Oryctolagus cuniculus: one gene and its partners. The protein of the gene in region 3 interacts with the protein of the main gene of each other region in a pairwise test. Links are inferred from orthologs where the notes say so. Each region holds a gene or a part of one and is shown on either strand. Other genes may lie near its edges.

Region 1 (4,189 bases), on a different chromosome or scaffold from region 3:
CTCCCTGCTAATATGCTTGAGAAAGGAGCTGAGGATGGCCCAACTATAAAATACTTGGCTCTTGTCTTAGGCCTGGTGCAGACCTGGCCATTGAGGCCATCTGGGGAGTGAACTAACAGAAGAAAGATTTCTCTCTCTCTCTCTCTCACTCGCTCACTCTATCTCCCCTTTTCCCCCTTCTCTGTCACTCCGCCTTCCAAAGAAACAAATAAATCTATATAAAAATTTATTTGCAATAGGATTTGACCTACTAATCCTTTAAAAAATGTTTAAGTACAAAGTTTTTCAAATAAATGAAAACACTGGAAGAAGAGTTTAATATTCATGTATTACCTAGCTTCAGTAATCGCCAACACATGGTCAATATTTGGCAAGCCCATTTTTTCAGTTCATCTGAAGGGTAATCAGTCATTTTCAAAAGACAAATGAAGAGAGGCTCTCTAGTAACCAGCCCTGAGACAGACTTGTTTCTGTGGGCATTTAGACCATGCAATTTCAAATCAGGGTTGAAGGGAGGACTTAAAAATCAGTAAATATTGTTGGGTCAATTGGTTACAAAATTGGGAAGAATTGAAGTTAAATAACATGTGAAAATTGAATTTTAGGTGGACTGGGGCCTAAATATAAAATTAAGGCTATAAGGGAATTAGAAAAAGTTACAAGGGCAGGAGGAGTGGATTCCTAATCTTGGTTTGAGCCAGGGGGACATGACATGAAAACAATACAGGAGCAATTAAAACATCTGCAGAGCGAAGCAACACGAAAGACAAGTCACAAATGCCACCGCAGGCAACAGGTCAGCCAGCCCAAGGACACCAGGGGACCGGGCCTCTGGAGACAAGAGAGCGAAGTAGACGGGCTGTTTAGGAACAAAGGAATTTAGTGCCACCCACATACCAGACACGTGGCTTCCCACGTGGTGGCCCGGAAACAGCCGCGTGGGGAATGCGGCGATTATTTTCTTCACTGTGTTTTCCTGAAGGGATTTTTTTTAACCATGATGGAGTGTTACGAATCCTGTAATAACCAAAAGATAGCCCTATATTGTGCCCTGCTTGGAATGCTGATGTCCCATCAGGCTTTCGGCTTCCTGTGCCGCAGTGAGTCCTTACAGGTATTTTAAAAATTAAATGCTCGGAGACTGACAGAAACAACGAGCGCGGTGTAGGTGTGGGAGGAGTTCTGCTCGCGAAGACACCTGCATTGCACTGCTCGCCCATCCTCTCTCCCAGTGCCATCTGCATCACTCACTCCAAATTACAAGAAGGAATTCAACCCTCCCGCGCGTCAGCGTGACTCCCGCGCCCGCACGTCCGGGCCCGCACAGGAACGCCCCTGCCCCGCCCAGCCCCGCCGCTTGTTGTGTTGTCATCACGTGGCTTGGGCGGACCCTGACGTCAGCTACAGGGGAGGGACTGCGCAGGCGCAGAAAAGGGGGCGGGGGACTCAGCTTGTTGTGTTGCTGCCCGAGAACCGGAGACGGTCCTGGTGCGGCCGCAGCTCTTCCAGACGCCCGACCATGTCGTCTCATTTAGTCGAGCCGCCGCCGCCCCTGCACAACAACAACAACAACTGCGAGGACGGTGACCAGCATCTGCCCCCACCGACCGGCCTCAACAGTGAGTGCTCGCCGACGGGTTCGCTGAAGGGGATGGGGGAGGAGGAGCTGCTCCGGCCGCCGCCACCAGCGCCGCGCGGGGGGCGGGAGGAGAAGGCAGCCCATTGGTCAAGCCCGAGGATGTTCTGCTGACTGACAGCTCCCGTCACCTGTCAGGAGGAGGCGCTTCAGTCTTCCTCTTGGCTAGTCTCCGCTCCCTCCTGGGGTCTTGGACTGGGTGCCAATTGTGGTCGCTCTCCGGGAGGGGAGGAGGGTGGGGAGAAAAGGGGATCGCGCGCCAGACTGCCCCTGGGGCAGGGCAGATCCCACCTGTAGGCCCCTGAAGCAGAGCCAATCGGGGCAGGGAGGGGGCGGGCCCTGGGGAGCGGGGCGGAAAGGTGGGCGGAGCGGGCCGCGAAGGGGACGTGGGCAGGGATGGGGACGTGCGGCGGGGACGCCGGGGGATGGACGCGCGGCGCGGGAGGGCAGGGGAGGGGCGGCCGAGGACGTGTCGGGGAGCAGGTGTGCCGTGGGGCCCCTGCCGAGCGTGCCCCGCGGGCCGGGCTTGCCCGGGCGGGGCCCGGCAGCCCTCGGTTGCGATCCTTTGTTGCCACATGCCGGTCGGGGAAACCCATTTGGCAATTTCGTGGTGACTCGAATCACGTGTGGGGGTGCACAGCCTGTGCCTTTCATTTCTTTTTCTTTGCTGCTGCTTTGTGAGATTTGCAAAGTTGCTCAAGTCTTTTTCAACGATGCAGTAGCGTGCACAGTAAACCTGTTTTAAGATGAGCCCCACTTCCAGCCCACGCGGAGTCTGGGGCGATGGGTATTCACACATGGGATTTAAAACACCCATCACAGGCACACGGGTGGTTGACAGTGGCAGGGTGGCGCTAGGACGGACCCCGGGTACTTCTGACAGCCTGGGGCTCAGACATCTTGCCAGTGGTGGTGAGAGCTCCGAGGTTCTTGCCTAACCTTTTTCTGTAATTTGCTCTTAGGAAAGAGGTGGTGGAGGCAGCCAGCATATGGCCAGACCGAGTCGCTTAACAACCATTTGGATGCTTAAAGGTCACACCGTCTCTTTCCTAAGAGGAAAGCGCTCCCAGCGTGGCCAGAACGTTATTTTAGGGAAGAGAGTCCCTGTCCCCTGAAGAGTGGGCATGAAAGCTGGGTATTTTTAGATGCTTTCTCTGCCTGTGGCAGGTGGTCGGTCGTTGATGGACTAATTCTCAGTGTTGACTGTTTTTAAACTTGTAAGTGTGTATGGAATGTTCTAGAATGTAAGATCTCTGCTGTTTCCCCTGCAGTAAGTTAGGAGTAGTGGAAGTCTTTAGATCTTACTTGTTGGTCACGTTTTGGCATACATGCTTGGAAGCGTGGATCTGGGGATAGAAACGGGGTTTAGAGTGAGGGGGCTCGTTCAGGTTGACAGCTGGCCGGACCTAGAGCTGAGGACCCCCCTTCAGCTCCTCGGGTGCCCCATCCGGGACCTTCCCTGGGGTCCCAAGTCCCTGATCACGGGTGCTTCTTACCCTCAGCATGTTTTTCTGTCGAATGTACATCGGTGGCTGCCTATCTTTATAGTATTCTGTTTCTTAATTGTGCTGTTTTCATATGCGTAAGAAATGTGTTTAGTATGTGTACGTGATTTCCCAGAGTCCAAAGGAGTTTTAATGTTCCTGTGACCCTTTACCATAAAGCAAGAGGGAGGGTTGAGCTGTATATGATTGTTTATCTTGGTGTTTGATGTCTGGCCAATCAGTTCCTGCTACGTTTACATTAGCTGTTAGAGAAGTGGAAGAACACCCCGCCTGCAGGTGATACCAGATGTTGCTTTGGGGAATCCACTAGGTAGAAAGTGTTTTATTTGGGGGTAATGTGAGCTTTTTAAGTTACTGCAAAACTTTCAGATAATACCATACTAAATTACTCCTCTCTTGCTTCTTCCTCTGATCCTTTTTTTCTCCCTCGTTACACAACACTGGACTGAACAAAACAAGAAGCCTTATTGATTCCTTCAAGTGATTTTTGGGCATCTGGCAAAACAACTTATTCAGACATTTAATACTATGAATTGCTGATAAGTTGGAGTACTCTGTTGGGTAAAGCACGACTGTGAAAACAGGAGATGAAACTCATCGTGATTATCTCTGGTTAGGATTTTATCTTTGGTCTAGGGGTCAAAGCAGAGTTTAATGGCAATTTATTGAAATACTTAAATAGTAAAGCCTTTCTCTGAAAGGTTTTTTTTTTTTTAATTTATCATTCATTCTAGGGCAACTGTGTTTTCATAACAAATTAGGGCACAAATATCCAAACTCTTTCTCAAGATAAAAAAATATTTTCTGGTTCTTAGTTTTATGCTTTAAAAAAAACTATCATGTTCCTTAAGAATATCTGAATAAAAGTTTGTCATAAAACTCAGTATAAGGAAAATCATAGAAGCAGTGTAGTTCTTGTGGTTTAATGTGGGAATTACAACTTTTTTAAAAAAATTAATTTATTTGAAATGGAGAGAGACAGACATACCCATCTTCTGGTTATTCCTCAAATGCCTGCAACAGCAGGGCTGGGCCAGGCAAGGGCCAG
Region 2 (4,112 bases), on a different chromosome or scaffold from region 3:
AACACAGGATAGGTTGGAGGAATTGCTCTGGAAGCCCCCAAACTGGGTCTGCTTACCCGACACTCAGCAAGCCAATTACTGACACCAGGTGGTGGAGGACAGGGCGTGTTTGGTGTAAAGTGCAGATTAAGGAGCAGGGCAGCTACCACTTCATTCCCAGACTCCTCGGGGGCTGAGGGTAAAGGTTCTGCAAGACTGAAGTTGGGGTTAAAGAGGTGCATGTTGGGCTTGTGTGCAAGTCCCTGGTCGGTCCTCAGTGCTCGTGGCTCTCCTTTGATTGGTTAGCGATGCCACCTTCTCTTGGGAATTCCAGTCACTCAGGTGGTAGTTACTTCTTGCTTGGAGCCAGGGTTCCTAGGAAAACTCTCAAGACTGAACACCAAGATGTTATCTGCAGAGGCCATAAATGACCCCATGAGTCTTTTGATCCCGGACCCTGAATTGCTGCACCAATTCAGTGAACTTGATTTGTAATAAGGGCAGTTAGGAAAGGAGCCTGGAAGACCACGGTAGGCAGGCTCTGATGATGCTGACGGCGTGCAGCATCTGCACCAGGGGCACCGCCCAGGGGCTTGGGTTCCGTCTGCTCACACTGGAAAGAGCACCGATGACACTGGGACTATGTTCTCTTAACTTGAAACCTAATCTGAAAAGAAAGGCGTTCTGGTGCCTGTGCACACCGTGCGATGGGAACGTGAACTGCCCTCTCTGTCACGGTGCTCCGGGCTCCAGCCACCAGCCTTCCTTCTGTCCCTGACACAGCCAAGTCCTTCCCACTTGCTGTTCCGCTTGGAACACTCGTCATCCTGATTCTCCAGCTCCTGATTCTCAGCTCCAGTGTCATCTTATCACAGAAGTTTCTTCTGCTAAGAAAGCAGGCTTCCCTATCACCTGTTACCCTTAAAGAAGGGCAGAGCTCTTGACGTCACTTGTCTTCCTGTGTCTGTCTGTACCTCGTACAGAGCCTAGCTAATAACAGGTACTCAATAAATATTCTTTGAGTGAGTAAATGTACACAATCCAACTCTTTTCTGGCTTTACCCAATCCACTCCAAGCACCGTTTGGTGCACAAAGCTACTCTTCTTCCTCTGCTTTCCTGACCAGGGCGCCTCACACATCCCGGGTGCCTGGAACACAAACTCACCTCTATGCGTGGCTGCACCCCCGCCACGCTTGGAAAGGACAACGTCCTCCTCTAAAGCTTTTTCTGTCGGCACATTCAGCAGGGCGGGGCCTGCCCCTTTAATCTGGGCCCCACCTGCTCTGGTCAGACAGGTTTGGAGACACAGGTAAAGGGAGGGAGACAGAGAAATACTTGCAGAGCCAGCACGGAGCTGGGCAGTTGCTTCCTGGACTGGACGCTGGGGACCCTCCACCTCTCTCCCGACAGAAAGTAAGGGGGTGTCATGGCTCCAAATGGCGTGGCGAGGGGAGGGCCCTTGGGGAGGGAAGGAAGGGGAGTCGGCCCCGTCCAGAAGCAGTGAGATAGAGGGTGGCAGTGAGGGGTGGTAGGCAGGAGGGAAGGCGTGGGAATCAGCCATGATTCAACCCCAAAGAACGGACAGACCCGGGGGCTGCCGGCATGAGGTGGGATGGTGAGAAGATTGGAGGCTGGCCACACGTTCAGATCGGAGACGCAAGAACTGGTGCTGGCAACTGCCAGCTCCTTGGGACAGATGGGTCGACAGTGACTCCTACTTGCCGGGGGAGTCCCCAGCAGGGTCTGCAGGGAGAAGGGCAGATGGGCTGGGGGAGGGGCTGTGGTGTTGTCCACAGGAAGATCTCCGGGGAGAAAGAAGCTGTTGGCAAAATTCTAGACACCTTCTCTGCTTCCCATTCCTGAATTATGGTATCCGGGACTCCGGGGGTTTTGGTGGAAGTGGGTAGGAGGCATGGGTGGGGGCTGACCGAGGCCAGAGCTGCTGGAGCCTGTGCCCCGACTCACCCTCGCGTGCCCGGATGCATCTGAAGATGTTGAAAGCGTGCCTCCACTTCAGCTCCCTCCCACCTCCCTCGGTTTCAACACCAACCTCTGAACCATGTTCTCCCCGAGGTCCCAGACGGGGCCAGAGGAGCCCCGGAAGTTCCAGTTCTGTGGCCCCGTCCTAGGGGCCTGAGAGAGCTTTTGCCCTCCTCCCTCCAGGATGACGGGACCTTAGGCTGGACCCCAGAACTGAAGCCCCAGCATGACAGAGCCTGAGACCCTGGCCCTGCTGGAAGTGAAGAGGCCTGAGGCCCCGGAGAAGAGCCCACCCCAGGACCTGGTTCCCAATGGCCGGCAGCCAGAAGGGGGAGGCGGGGCCGAGTCCCCTGAAGGCGGGTCCCTCCAAGTGGAGTCTTCAGCTGGCTCTGCCTCAGCCAGAGAGGCCACCGAGGATGGCCTGGACAGCACAGTGAGCGAGGCCGCCACCTTGCCCTGGGGCACCGACCCCCAGCCCACTGCGCCCTTCCCAGACCCTCCCGGCTGGAGGGACGTAGAGTCAGAGCCGCTCGAGCCCGAGCTGCCCGTCAGGCCTGAGGGGCTGCCTGAGGATGATGCCAACCTGCTGCCTGCCAAGGCTGCCCGGGCCTTCGTGCCCATCGACCTGCAGTGCATCGAGCGGCGGCCCCAGGAGGACCTCATCGTGCGCTGCGAGGCGGGCGAGGGCGAGCGTCGGTCCTTCCTGCCCCCCCGGCTCCCCCACATTGAGCCCCCCGAGTGCAAGTGGGCCGAGGCCGTGGTGAGGCCCCCCAGCCGCTCCTGCGGGAGCTGCGGAAGCTGCGGAGGCCGTGAGGGGCTGAGGGCTGTGGCCTCGGTGGGAGCCGCCCTCGTCCTCTTCCCGTGCCTGCTGTACGGAGCCTACGCCTTCCTGCCCTTCGACGCCCCACGGCTGCCCACCCTGAGCTCCCGCCTGGTCTACACGCTGCGCTGCGGGGTCTTTGCCACCTTCCCCATCGTGCTGGGTGAGTCTGGGGCCCCTGTGACAAGAAAGGGGACACCTGGAGAGTGGACTTCAGAAGGGCAGGGCCTGCTGGGGCTTGGGGAGCAGGTGAGCGCCCCTCGTTCAGCCTGGTCCTGCCAGGGCCTCCCCCACCCCCACTCTGTGTGCCTGCCTCCTGCCTGTTTTGACCCCGTGTGTTTCCTGACCCCACCCAGGGCTCCTGGTGTACGGGCTGAGCCTGTTGTGCTTTTCTGCCCTACGGCCCTTTGGAGAGCCCCGGCGGGAGGTGGAGATCCACCGGAGATACGTGGCCCAGTCGGTCCAGCTCTTCATCCTGTACTTCTTCAACCTGGCCGTGCTCTCCACCTACCTGCCCCAGGACACCCTCAAGCTGCTCCCTCTGCTCACTGGCCTCTTCGCCGTCTCTCGGTAAGTGGGGTGGGGGAAGGAGGGTGATGTGCCAGATCCAGGCACCCGAATATCTGGAGAGCGGCTTTTCTGGGTTCTGGAGTGGCCCGCGTGTGCCCTGGAGAGATGAGTTCACTTACTCTCCTGCACCGGACTCACCTGGGGGCAGGTGGGCAGCTCCTGTGTCTGCCGGGAGGTAGGAAGCTGATTTCAGAGATGCGACATGCCAGCATGGAACTGGAAGGCTTTTAAGTGTCACAGAAATCAGCGGGCCCATTACAGCCACTCCTCTGTAGTACTCTGGTCATGCAGTTTTTTTGGCTTCTAGCTGAATGCCCGCTGTGATAAGTGCTCCATTCTTTATAAAGCGATATGTTTTGGTTTTTGAAATCCCTAATTGTTAGAACTTTTTTTTTTTATAATGTGTTAGAAATTTCTATCCTGACTCTGATCCCCAGGACAAACACTTCTCAGTTCTCCCCACTCTAACACTCTGCTCCCCACCCGCCATCTCTACTTTGCTAAGTGATCACGGTCCCTTCATTGTCCAGGCCCCTCCCTCTGGGCAGGAGACGCTTCCCTGGCCAAGGGTCCTCTTCATACAGACGAGGCCACCTTAGCTCTCACAGCGGAATTATTCTCCTCTCACTCAGTTTGCAGTTGCCTGAAATCCTCGGGGAGTATTTTCATGTGAATTTCTGAACCCAGATGCGCTCTTTCCATTTTTCCCTAATACATTTCCTCCCATTACTTCCTTTTCTTTTTAATTAAATATTTATTTG
Region 3 (4,165 bases):
CTGAAGAGCCACCAGGAGCAGAAATTGAATGGAGACCAGGATGAGGGATCGTGGAGAACTTGAATTCCATTGTCATTACAATCTGGCAAATTCTAAAGTGAATCATTCATCATTGGTGCCTGGATAACCTCGCCATTCAGAATTAATGGAGTTTTCCCCTACTCTTAGGATACCTCTTCTTTGGCTGCTGTAGCTGTAGCTTCAGCATAGGCAGAACAGCTTACACTCCTGGTCTCAGAACCACGTGAACATTCTTGAGTCCTGACACTCCTACGGTCTCTGATACCCCCCTTCATTTTTGGAGGAGACATCTTAAAGTAGAAGAAATAGCATTGGTTACTAAGGATAACCTCCCCTCTTGACTTATTCGGTGCATGACTTTGGTCAAGTTACTTCCTCTGTTTTTGTTTTTCATTTTTCTTTGTGACACTGGGGTTCTAATACCTCCAAGGATTATTGTGGGAATTAAGTGAACTAACACGAAAAAGCATCCCACTTAGAGATGACCAGCACATTATAGGTCACTCACTGTCCACTGATATGCATAAACACACACATACCTGGATACCACCTCCCTCAACCAACTTTTCTTTCTGGAAACCCCAGCAGGTTGCCCAAGAAAAAATTGCTTAATTGGTGGTAAGAGGAAAACAATTATGCAATGTGAAGAAGAAAGCAGAAGTCTCATTCTGATGTCAAGACATGTGAATGTTTCCCTTGAAGACAACAGGGAACTGATGTTGTATTAACATTTCCACAGCAAGAGTATATCTCTGCCTTTCACTGAGAATAAACAGGAAGAGCATTTCACGGAATTGTCAAGGAGAATCATAGAGGAGACAAAAATCACTCGTTTGATAAAGAGATCCCTGGTTCCTTTCTCCATATTTCATTCCATTTACATTTTAAGTCTCATATCCAGTTAATGATGACTTTTTGTCTAATATGTTTCCTTCACCAGAATGCCATGAACTCCCTTTAAAAAGAAACATGCAAACCAATCTCTTACCACAAAAGGCATGTCAGATTCAGACTTTTAAACCCCATGACTGGAGTGGATGTTTGGCATAGTGAGTAAGTTACAGCTTGGGAAAACCTTATCCCACATTAGAGTGTCTGAGTTCAAGACCTGGCTCTGCCTTCAGTTCCAGCTTCCCACAAATACACACCCTAGGAAGCAGCAGGTGACGGCTCAAGTGCTTGGGTTCTTGCCACTCATGTGGGAGGCTTGGTTTGAGTTCTGATCTCCTGGCTTTGGCCTGACCCAGCTTTGGCTATTGTAGGCATTTTTGGAGTAAGCCTGCAGAAGGGAGACCCGTTTCTGTCTCTGTCTCTCTCTGGCTTTCAAATAAATTTAAAAAATTTTAAAAAGCAGGAAAAAGAAATAAACTCTTTGACTTCTGATTTCCATTTGGTCTCTACAAGAAGATTATCATTTTACTGTTTTTGTCATCTGTCTCCCATCTTTTCATTCTTTTTCTAAAGAAGTTTTTTTTAAAAATTTATTTATTTTATTTATTGTAGAGGCAGAGAAACCATCTGCTGGTTCATTCCCCAAATGCACTTAACGGCCAGAGCTGGGCCAGGCTGAAGCTGGGATGTGGAAATTCAATCTGGGTCTCCGTCATGGGCGATGGGGACCCCGCTCCTGGAGTCTTACTTGCTGCCTTCTGGTGTGCACACCAGCAGGAAGCTGGTATCAGGAGCAGAGCTGAGGTCCAAATCCCAGCGTCTTAGACTCTAGGAATGTGGGCACCCTGATATCTTAAACAGTAGGCCAAATGCCTACTCTTATCATTCTTCTCTTTCTTGTCTTTCCTGATGTTGATACACACAAGTTTCCTTGACCTCCAGTCTATGATCTATTCCCTTCTATCAAACAAGCAACAAGTCACCCTTATTGAAACCCCATTCATGGGGTCAGCACTGTGCCGTAGCTGGTAACACTGCCACTTGCAGTGCCGGCATCCCATATAGCACCAGTTCGAGTCTTGGCTGCTCTGCTTCTGATCCAGCTCTCTGTTACGGCCTGGGAAAACAGCAGAAACTGGCCCAAAGCCTTGGGCCCCTGCACCCATGTGGGAGTCCTGGAAGAAGCTTCCGGTTCCTGGCTCCTGCCTTCAGATAGGTGCAGCTCCAGCCATTGCAACCATTTAGGGAGTGAATCAGCAGATGAAAGACTTCTCTCTCTCTACCTACTTCTGTCTCTCTGTAACTCTGCCTTTCAAGTAAATAAATCAATCTTAAAAAACAGATGCAAAAACAATATACAAAAACAAAAGAAGAAATCCCTTCATACTTATTGCTAACTCTTCAGAGAGGAAGTGGCAATTTCTATAAAACAGAGAAACTGTATTTTCTGCCATCATACATAATTAATTTAAGTACTAACAATTAGTTACTCAATAGCTTAGGCTTAACAATTAGTTAATAGTAAAGGCTTAGTACAAATCCAAGTTATCTTCTGTAATTTCTAAAAATCTTTAAGTAAATCTAACAAGTTGTATCTACAATTTTTTCCACTTAAGTATTTAATTGTGAATGAGAGTGCTGAAGTCAGAAAAAAAAATAATACCTTTCTCTGATAACACACGTGTTCTGGTGGTGACTCGAGAGTTGAAGACTAATTGAGTATATCCATCTTCATCTACATTTTCTAAACCAGAATGAAACTCCATCGTTCTATAGAGTCCCAGGATAGACGCAGCATTTGAGAGCGCCTTTCCTTCTCCTAGGTTGACTGCCTGTGGACAAAAGAGGATCTAAGAGTTGAATCATGTGGGATAGGCATGTTGACTGAGCTTTAAGAAGCTGAGCTTAAGCAGCCCAACGACGACAGATACCCAAAAGCAGGAAATGAAAACTGTGCTGTGGTAATTTCCTATCCTTACCTTTAGATCCTGTTTCTGAGACTGTAGACTCTTAAGAAAATCAAAAGGCTGAAAAGTACACAGATTGAAGTTTCAGATCATATACAGGAAAAAGGCGTGGATTAATGTCTTATGGTGCCTTTGTTACTTGCACAACTGAATTTGACATCATTAATTGATGTAGCCTATTAAAGCATTTGGGTGCCTTGAGTTTATCCCCACTTTGCTCTAACTATTTTTTCCATGCACTTATTCATGTATTTGTTCATTCAGTAAATATTTATTGAATGCTCAACTTTCCACTGAAAGGAGCTAAGGTTGTAAAGAAAATGATAGCTGCGAAAAAGCTCACCAGAAACTTATGGATTGCTATTTGAAGGATTCCACAAGGAAGTGTATAGTTGGAGCAATACTGAGAGGGCAAAGTTCTCCTCTGAATTTGTCAGGGATTAATAAAACAAAGTAGCGATTATTTGTACCCAAGTGCTGTGAGTTAGCTGCTACTCTATACTAGTTTTCTCACTCAATCTCAGTTCTCCAACAAGTCTATGTGGTAGGTATTATTTCTATTTTTAGATAAAGACAATAAGACATTTAAAGCTTATTCCCAGGGCCAGCATGTGACATATTGCTTGAGACACAGATATCCATATCAGAGCAACTGATTGAAGTCCTAGCTGCTGTGCTTCCAATCCAGCTCCCTGCTAATGTGCCTGGGAAAGCATCCAACTGTGTTTAGGCCCCTGCCACCCATGGGGGAGATCTAACTGGAGTTCCTGGCTCCTGGCTTTGGCTTGGTCCAACTCTGGCTGTTGCAGCGATTCTGGGGGAGTGAACCAGAGGATGGAAGATCTCTGTTTCTCTCTATCACCATTTCCCTTTCTGTCACTGTGCCTTTCAAGTAAGTATAAATAAATAAACCTTAAAGAAAACTTAGTCCCCTTTTCAGTTTTGAGAAGCTAGTTAAAACATTGGAGCAAGGAATAGTGCTATGGGGCCCTGGCTGCTGCTCCCAAGCATGTCCAGTCCTCTGAGGAGAGGAAGGCTTTGTCATTCCTCTAAAAGAGGCAAGAGAATAGGATGTGAATTTGTCTCCCTGACTGAGGGTTGGGAGAAAGTTTCAGGGGCCAGGTAGAAGAAAGCTGGAACACGGACATGCAGGCCAGACAAGCTTTGATTGGAGAGGCTGGATTCAGGCTAGCATGATCAGATGAACTTTTAATTCTAGATTTCCACGTTGAAGGAACTCTCGTGTCTGAAAAGGCTCCATGTACCCATGTCTGATCTCCTTGGTT
Region 4 (4,102 bases), on a different chromosome or scaffold from region 3:
TCCCGTCACCCCGCGCGGGCGTGCAGCACGCGGCTGCGGCGCTGCTTGGACGCCCCATCCATCAGAGTGGAGTCTTGGCTGCTTCCGGCCGCGGCCACAGCCCAGCAGGCAGGGGAGTGCCTCCGCCCGGCAGGGAGACCTGGACGAGTCCGCTCTCCTGCTTTGTCCTGGTCCAGCCACGGCTGTGGTGAGCATTTGGGCAGTGAAGCAGCAGGCGGAAGCTCCGTCTCCAAATCTCAAAATAAACAAACTCAGAAAACAAAAACTTTGGGTTCAAAAGTTGTATTTCAGGAAATGATTTACTAAGGGACAGGAGTTTTATCATTAACCTGTAGCAACTCCCTGAGAAGGTGCTTCCTGCAAGTGAGAGGCCGCCGCTAACCCCTCGCTTCCGGAGCTGGGCACTGGTGCCATCCAGTTCAGTGTCTCCTGGTAACTGTAACCACAATGTATTCCCAGCACCGCAAAGGCAGGACCCAGGGACCTCATTCTAGAAGTCTCTAGCCAGGCTTGCGTGGTTGGGGCTGGCAGCACCCCCCCCCCCCGGCGCAGGTTTCAGCACCCACGTCTGGTACTGGCTCCCTGCTCCCAACCAAGCTTCCTGCCCCGGCAGGCGGCAACCGACGGCCCGGCCCGAGCCCTGTGTCTGCGTGAGACCGACGGAGCTCCTGGCTCCGGCCAGCCACCCCAGGCTGCTGTTTGGCAAGCGATCGTCTGTCGTCCGCCTTTCAAATAAATCAAGGTTTGTTTTTTAGTTTTTGGTTGACTTTGCTAACAAGATACACAGCAGGCGGATGTAAACCCCCTCAACCACAGACTCAATACGACCCAGCTCTTCAGAGTTCTGAAGCCACTTCTTAGGTTCCACTTATTCTTCCATTTTGTTAAAATAGCAAGCTTCGTCGGACCTCCACCCCACTGCCCTGTCAGAGCCGGGGTAACCCTGTAGGCCCCCGTCCCCCGGTGCTGGTTCCGTGGCCACAGCCAGCCCCCGAACCTCACGTGGCGTCTGGGATGGGACAGTCGCCCCAGGGCCTGTCCCCGAGTTCAGAATCCCTGTGCCACCCACTGCACACCCAGAAGCCCCACGGAGACGGTGCACAGCCGGGGGCTCCGAGACGGGAGACGGGGCTGCAGAGGGATGGGGGGGGGGGGTGTGTGTGCACTTCCCCGGGAAGCCTGACGCAAGGGAGCTGCTGAGCCTGGTGAGCCTGGAAGGGACCGGAGCCCCAGGCCCCACAGTGCTTCTCCCCGAGGGTGGGCTGCAGAAGTCCTGTTCTTCCATTCAAAAGCCCATTAGCGGGGAGAGGAAAGAGACCGGATTGGCACGACTGGACGTAAGAACTCAGGCTGCGGGCTTCTACGAGCGCCCCGGTCACGTGGCTCAAGCTCCCCGCCGGCGCTCCCGAGTCCCCCCACCCACCGTGCAGCCTTGTTTCCCACTTCACCTCTGAACCTTCCTGCGATGTAGAGACCAGAACCCGGCTGCCTGAGACCCCCGGGCAATGGACCCGACGCGTCCCCCCCCCAGGACAAATGCGACTTCCTCCTCCCCCCCCCCGCCCCGCAGAACACCGAGAGCACAGGAAAGGCAGGGCGGGCGCCCGGAGCGCGGGCAGCAGGGACCAGGGCTCCCGAGCCTGCTGCCCGGGCCCAGGGAGGGCCGCCTGGGCCGGCGCTGGGCCTGCCCGCGGGCCAGAGGTAAACAAGAGGCGATCAAACCTCGCAGGCAGGCAGGGATTACATATCCTGGGCAGCTGCGAGGCCCCACGTGACGGCGCTGGGCTGGGCAGCGAGCGAGTGCCCGGCCGCACGTACGCCCAGGCCCGCAGGATCCGCAGTGAGTTTGCCCCGGTGCAGCCGTCCTCTCTCGGACACTGAGAAAGCGCCATCGGACGCTGGCCGGGACCGAGCAGGCCGGTGTGCGCAGGGCACGGGAGAGCCAGAGGCCAGGGCGGGGCGGCCACGGCGCACCCCTGGGGTCTCGCTTTGCACCGAAACCCCGGGCTACGTCACGGCGGCACTGTCAGTCACTGCAGTTTTCGAAATCGCTGCGTTACGGCGCTCAAAACGGGGCCGTTCCAAAGCAGGGCTCGAGAACCAGGAGACCCGGGCGCTGCGGGGCCCATCGCCCCGTCCCCAGCGCTCTCAACCCCGGCCGCCCGGCTCTCCAGCGGCGGAGCGGCGAGCAGACGGCATCCGCCTCCGTGCGCTCCTCCCGCGCTCCCCCTGCGCGGCGGCCGCCCCTCGCAGGCCGCAGAGGTCGGGCCCGCGCCCCGCGGACCCACGCGCAGGCCGCCGCCCTCCCCGCGTGGGCGTCTCTGTAGCGCACGGACGACCTGCACCGTGGGGTCTCTGTAGCGCACGGACGACCTGCACCGTGGGCACCAAGCGAGCCGCCGCGGACCCGCGCCCCTCCCCCAGGAAAGCCTCCCGGGCACGGACGTTAGAGACCCCGAAACCCCACTCCGCCGAGCCGGGGCCGGGGGTCCAGGGCGCGACTCCAGGCGGTCCCGCGCCGCGGAACGCAGGCTTCTCCGTCCCGTCCGACCCGCCCGGCCCCGCCGCGAGGGCCTCCCCGCGCCGCCCCCGCCGCCTCCCCAGGCCTCACCCTGAAGGTTCTCCTCCTGCAGCCCAGGGGCCCCGCTCTGAGCCATGGCGCCGGGGCCGGCAGCGCGGCCGGGCTGTGGGTGCGTTCCGACGGTCGAGGCCGGAGCGCCGAGGGCCCGCACGGCCAGGCCAGCGCGCCGAGCCGCGGCTGCGCGAGTGAGGCGGCCCGGGCGCCCCGCCGGCCAAGACGCACTGGGCGGGCCCTGCGGCGGCGCCCCCGGGCCGCGGGGCGGGGCCTGCGCTGCGCGTGCGCGGGGGCCCGTGGCGCGTGCGGCACGTGCGGCGCGTGCGCGGGGCGGGCCCAGGACGGCGCTGGGCGGGGCTGCGGCGCGGGCGGGGGCGGGGCCGGGGCTCCGCCCCCGGGGCTGTCCGAGCGGCCCGCGCGGGTCAGCGGGCTGCGTCAGCGCGGGGTGGCCCCGGTCCGCGTCCGCGCGCCCTCTCCGAGCGTAGGCTCTGCCGGGGCCCCGGGCGGGCAGGACGCAGCCCTCCGGCTGGCGTGGAAGGTCGTGTGGCGCCCCGTGTTCGTGCCCTAAGGGCCTGGGTTTGGCCGGGCGACCGCCGTGAGCAGGGCGGCCTCCGGGTGGACGCGGTCGGGAGCCCCAGGGCGGCCTGCCTGCCGTCGGGAGACCCTCGAATCTCTAGTAAGTGAGGAGTGCCGCGGATCCTTCCGTGAAATGGAGCAGCCGGGACTCGAACCGGCGGCCAGGAGGTGCAGCCTCACCCGGGCCCCATGAAGTTCCCTGTAGGACGTGGGCGATGGGCAGGCCCGCGGCCGCCTCTGCCTGGGCAGGGACGTAGCTCGACGCACTACCTCCACACTCGCTCTTGTGATGTGGTTGTCCATTTCCGACTCATCTGCAAGGCACAGAGCTGGAGAAAGATCTGTGCTGGGTCACTCACCAAATGCCGCGCAGCCAGAGCTGGCCCCGGGCCGAAGCCGGGAGCCAGGAGCTCCACGCAGGCCCCCACCGCGGTGACACAGGCCCCCACCACAGTGGCACAGGCCCAGGAGCTCCACGCAGGCCCCCACCGCGGTGGCAGAGGCCCCCACCACGGTGGCACAGGCCCCCACCACAGTGGCACAGGCCCAGGAGCTCCACGCAGGCCCCCACCGGGGTGGCAGAGGAGCCAGGAGCTCCACGCAGGCCCCCACCGCGGTGACACAGGCCCCCACCACAGTGGCACAGGCCCAGGAGCTCCACGCAGGCCCCCACCGCGGTGGCAGAGGCCCCCACCACGGTGGCACAGGCCCCCACCACAGTGGCACAGGCCCAGGAGCTCCACGCAGGCCCCCACCGGGGTGGCAGAGGAGCCAGGAGCTCCACGCAGGCCCCCACCGCGGTGACACAGGCCCCCACCACAGTGGCACAGGCCCAGGAGCTCCACGCAGGCCCCCACCGCGGTGACACAGGCCCCCACCACAGTGGCACAGGCCCAGGAGCTCCACGCAGGCCCCCACCGGGGTGGCAGAGGAGCCAGGAGCTCCACGCAG

The links.
Region 1: the proteins of CLEC7A (region 3) and BNIP3L interact in binary tests that used the Homo sapiens proteins (3 or more experiments, as listed by UniProt). The two-hybrid records come from large-scale screens. The link is inferred for Oryctolagus cuniculus from reciprocal best matches to the Homo sapiens genes CLEC7A and BNIP3L.
Region 2: the proteins of CLEC7A (region 3) and TMEM79 interact in binary tests that used the Homo sapiens proteins (3 or more experiments, as listed by UniProt). The two-hybrid records come from large-scale screens. The link is inferred for Oryctolagus cuniculus from reciprocal best matches to the Homo sapiens genes CLEC7A and TMEM79.
Region 4: the proteins of CLEC7A (region 3) and BNIP3 interact in binary tests that used the Homo sapiens proteins (3 or more experiments, as listed by UniProt). The two-hybrid records come from large-scale screens. The link is inferred for Oryctolagus cuniculus from reciprocal best matches to the Homo sapiens genes CLEC7A and BNIP3.

Annotation. Positions count from the first base shown.
Region 1 is NC_091433.1:47,857,555-47,861,743, reverse strand, and holds the start of BNIP3L (BCL2/adenovirus E1B 19 kDa protein-interacting protein 3-like), read left to right. Parts: upstream 1-1,363; 5' UTR 1,364-1,519; coding exon 1,520-1,619; intron 1,620-4,189.
Region 2 is NC_091438.1:42,426,509-42,430,620, reverse strand, and holds the start of TMEM79 (transmembrane protein 79), read left to right. Parts: upstream 1-1,255; 5' UTR 1,256-1,394; intron 1,395-2,144; 5' UTR 2,145-2,187; coding exon 2,188-2,944; intron 2,945-3,137; coding exon 3,138-3,351; intron 3,352-4,112.
Region 3 is NC_091440.1:106,848,213-106,852,377, forward strand, and holds the start of CLEC7A (C-type lectin domain family 7 member A), read right to left. Parts: upstream 2,804-4,165; 5' UTR 2,679-2,803; coding exon 2,576-2,678; intron 1-2,575.
Region 4 is NC_091446.1:1,003,642-1,007,743, reverse strand, and holds the start of BNIP3 (BCL2/adenovirus E1B 19 kDa protein-interacting protein 3), read right to left. Parts: upstream 2,825-4,102; 5' UTR 2,658-2,824; coding exon 2,612-2,657; intron 1-2,611. UniProt on the Homo sapiens protein: Apoptosis-inducing protein that can overcome BCL2 suppression. May play a role in repartitioning calcium between the two major intracellular calcium stores in association with BCL2.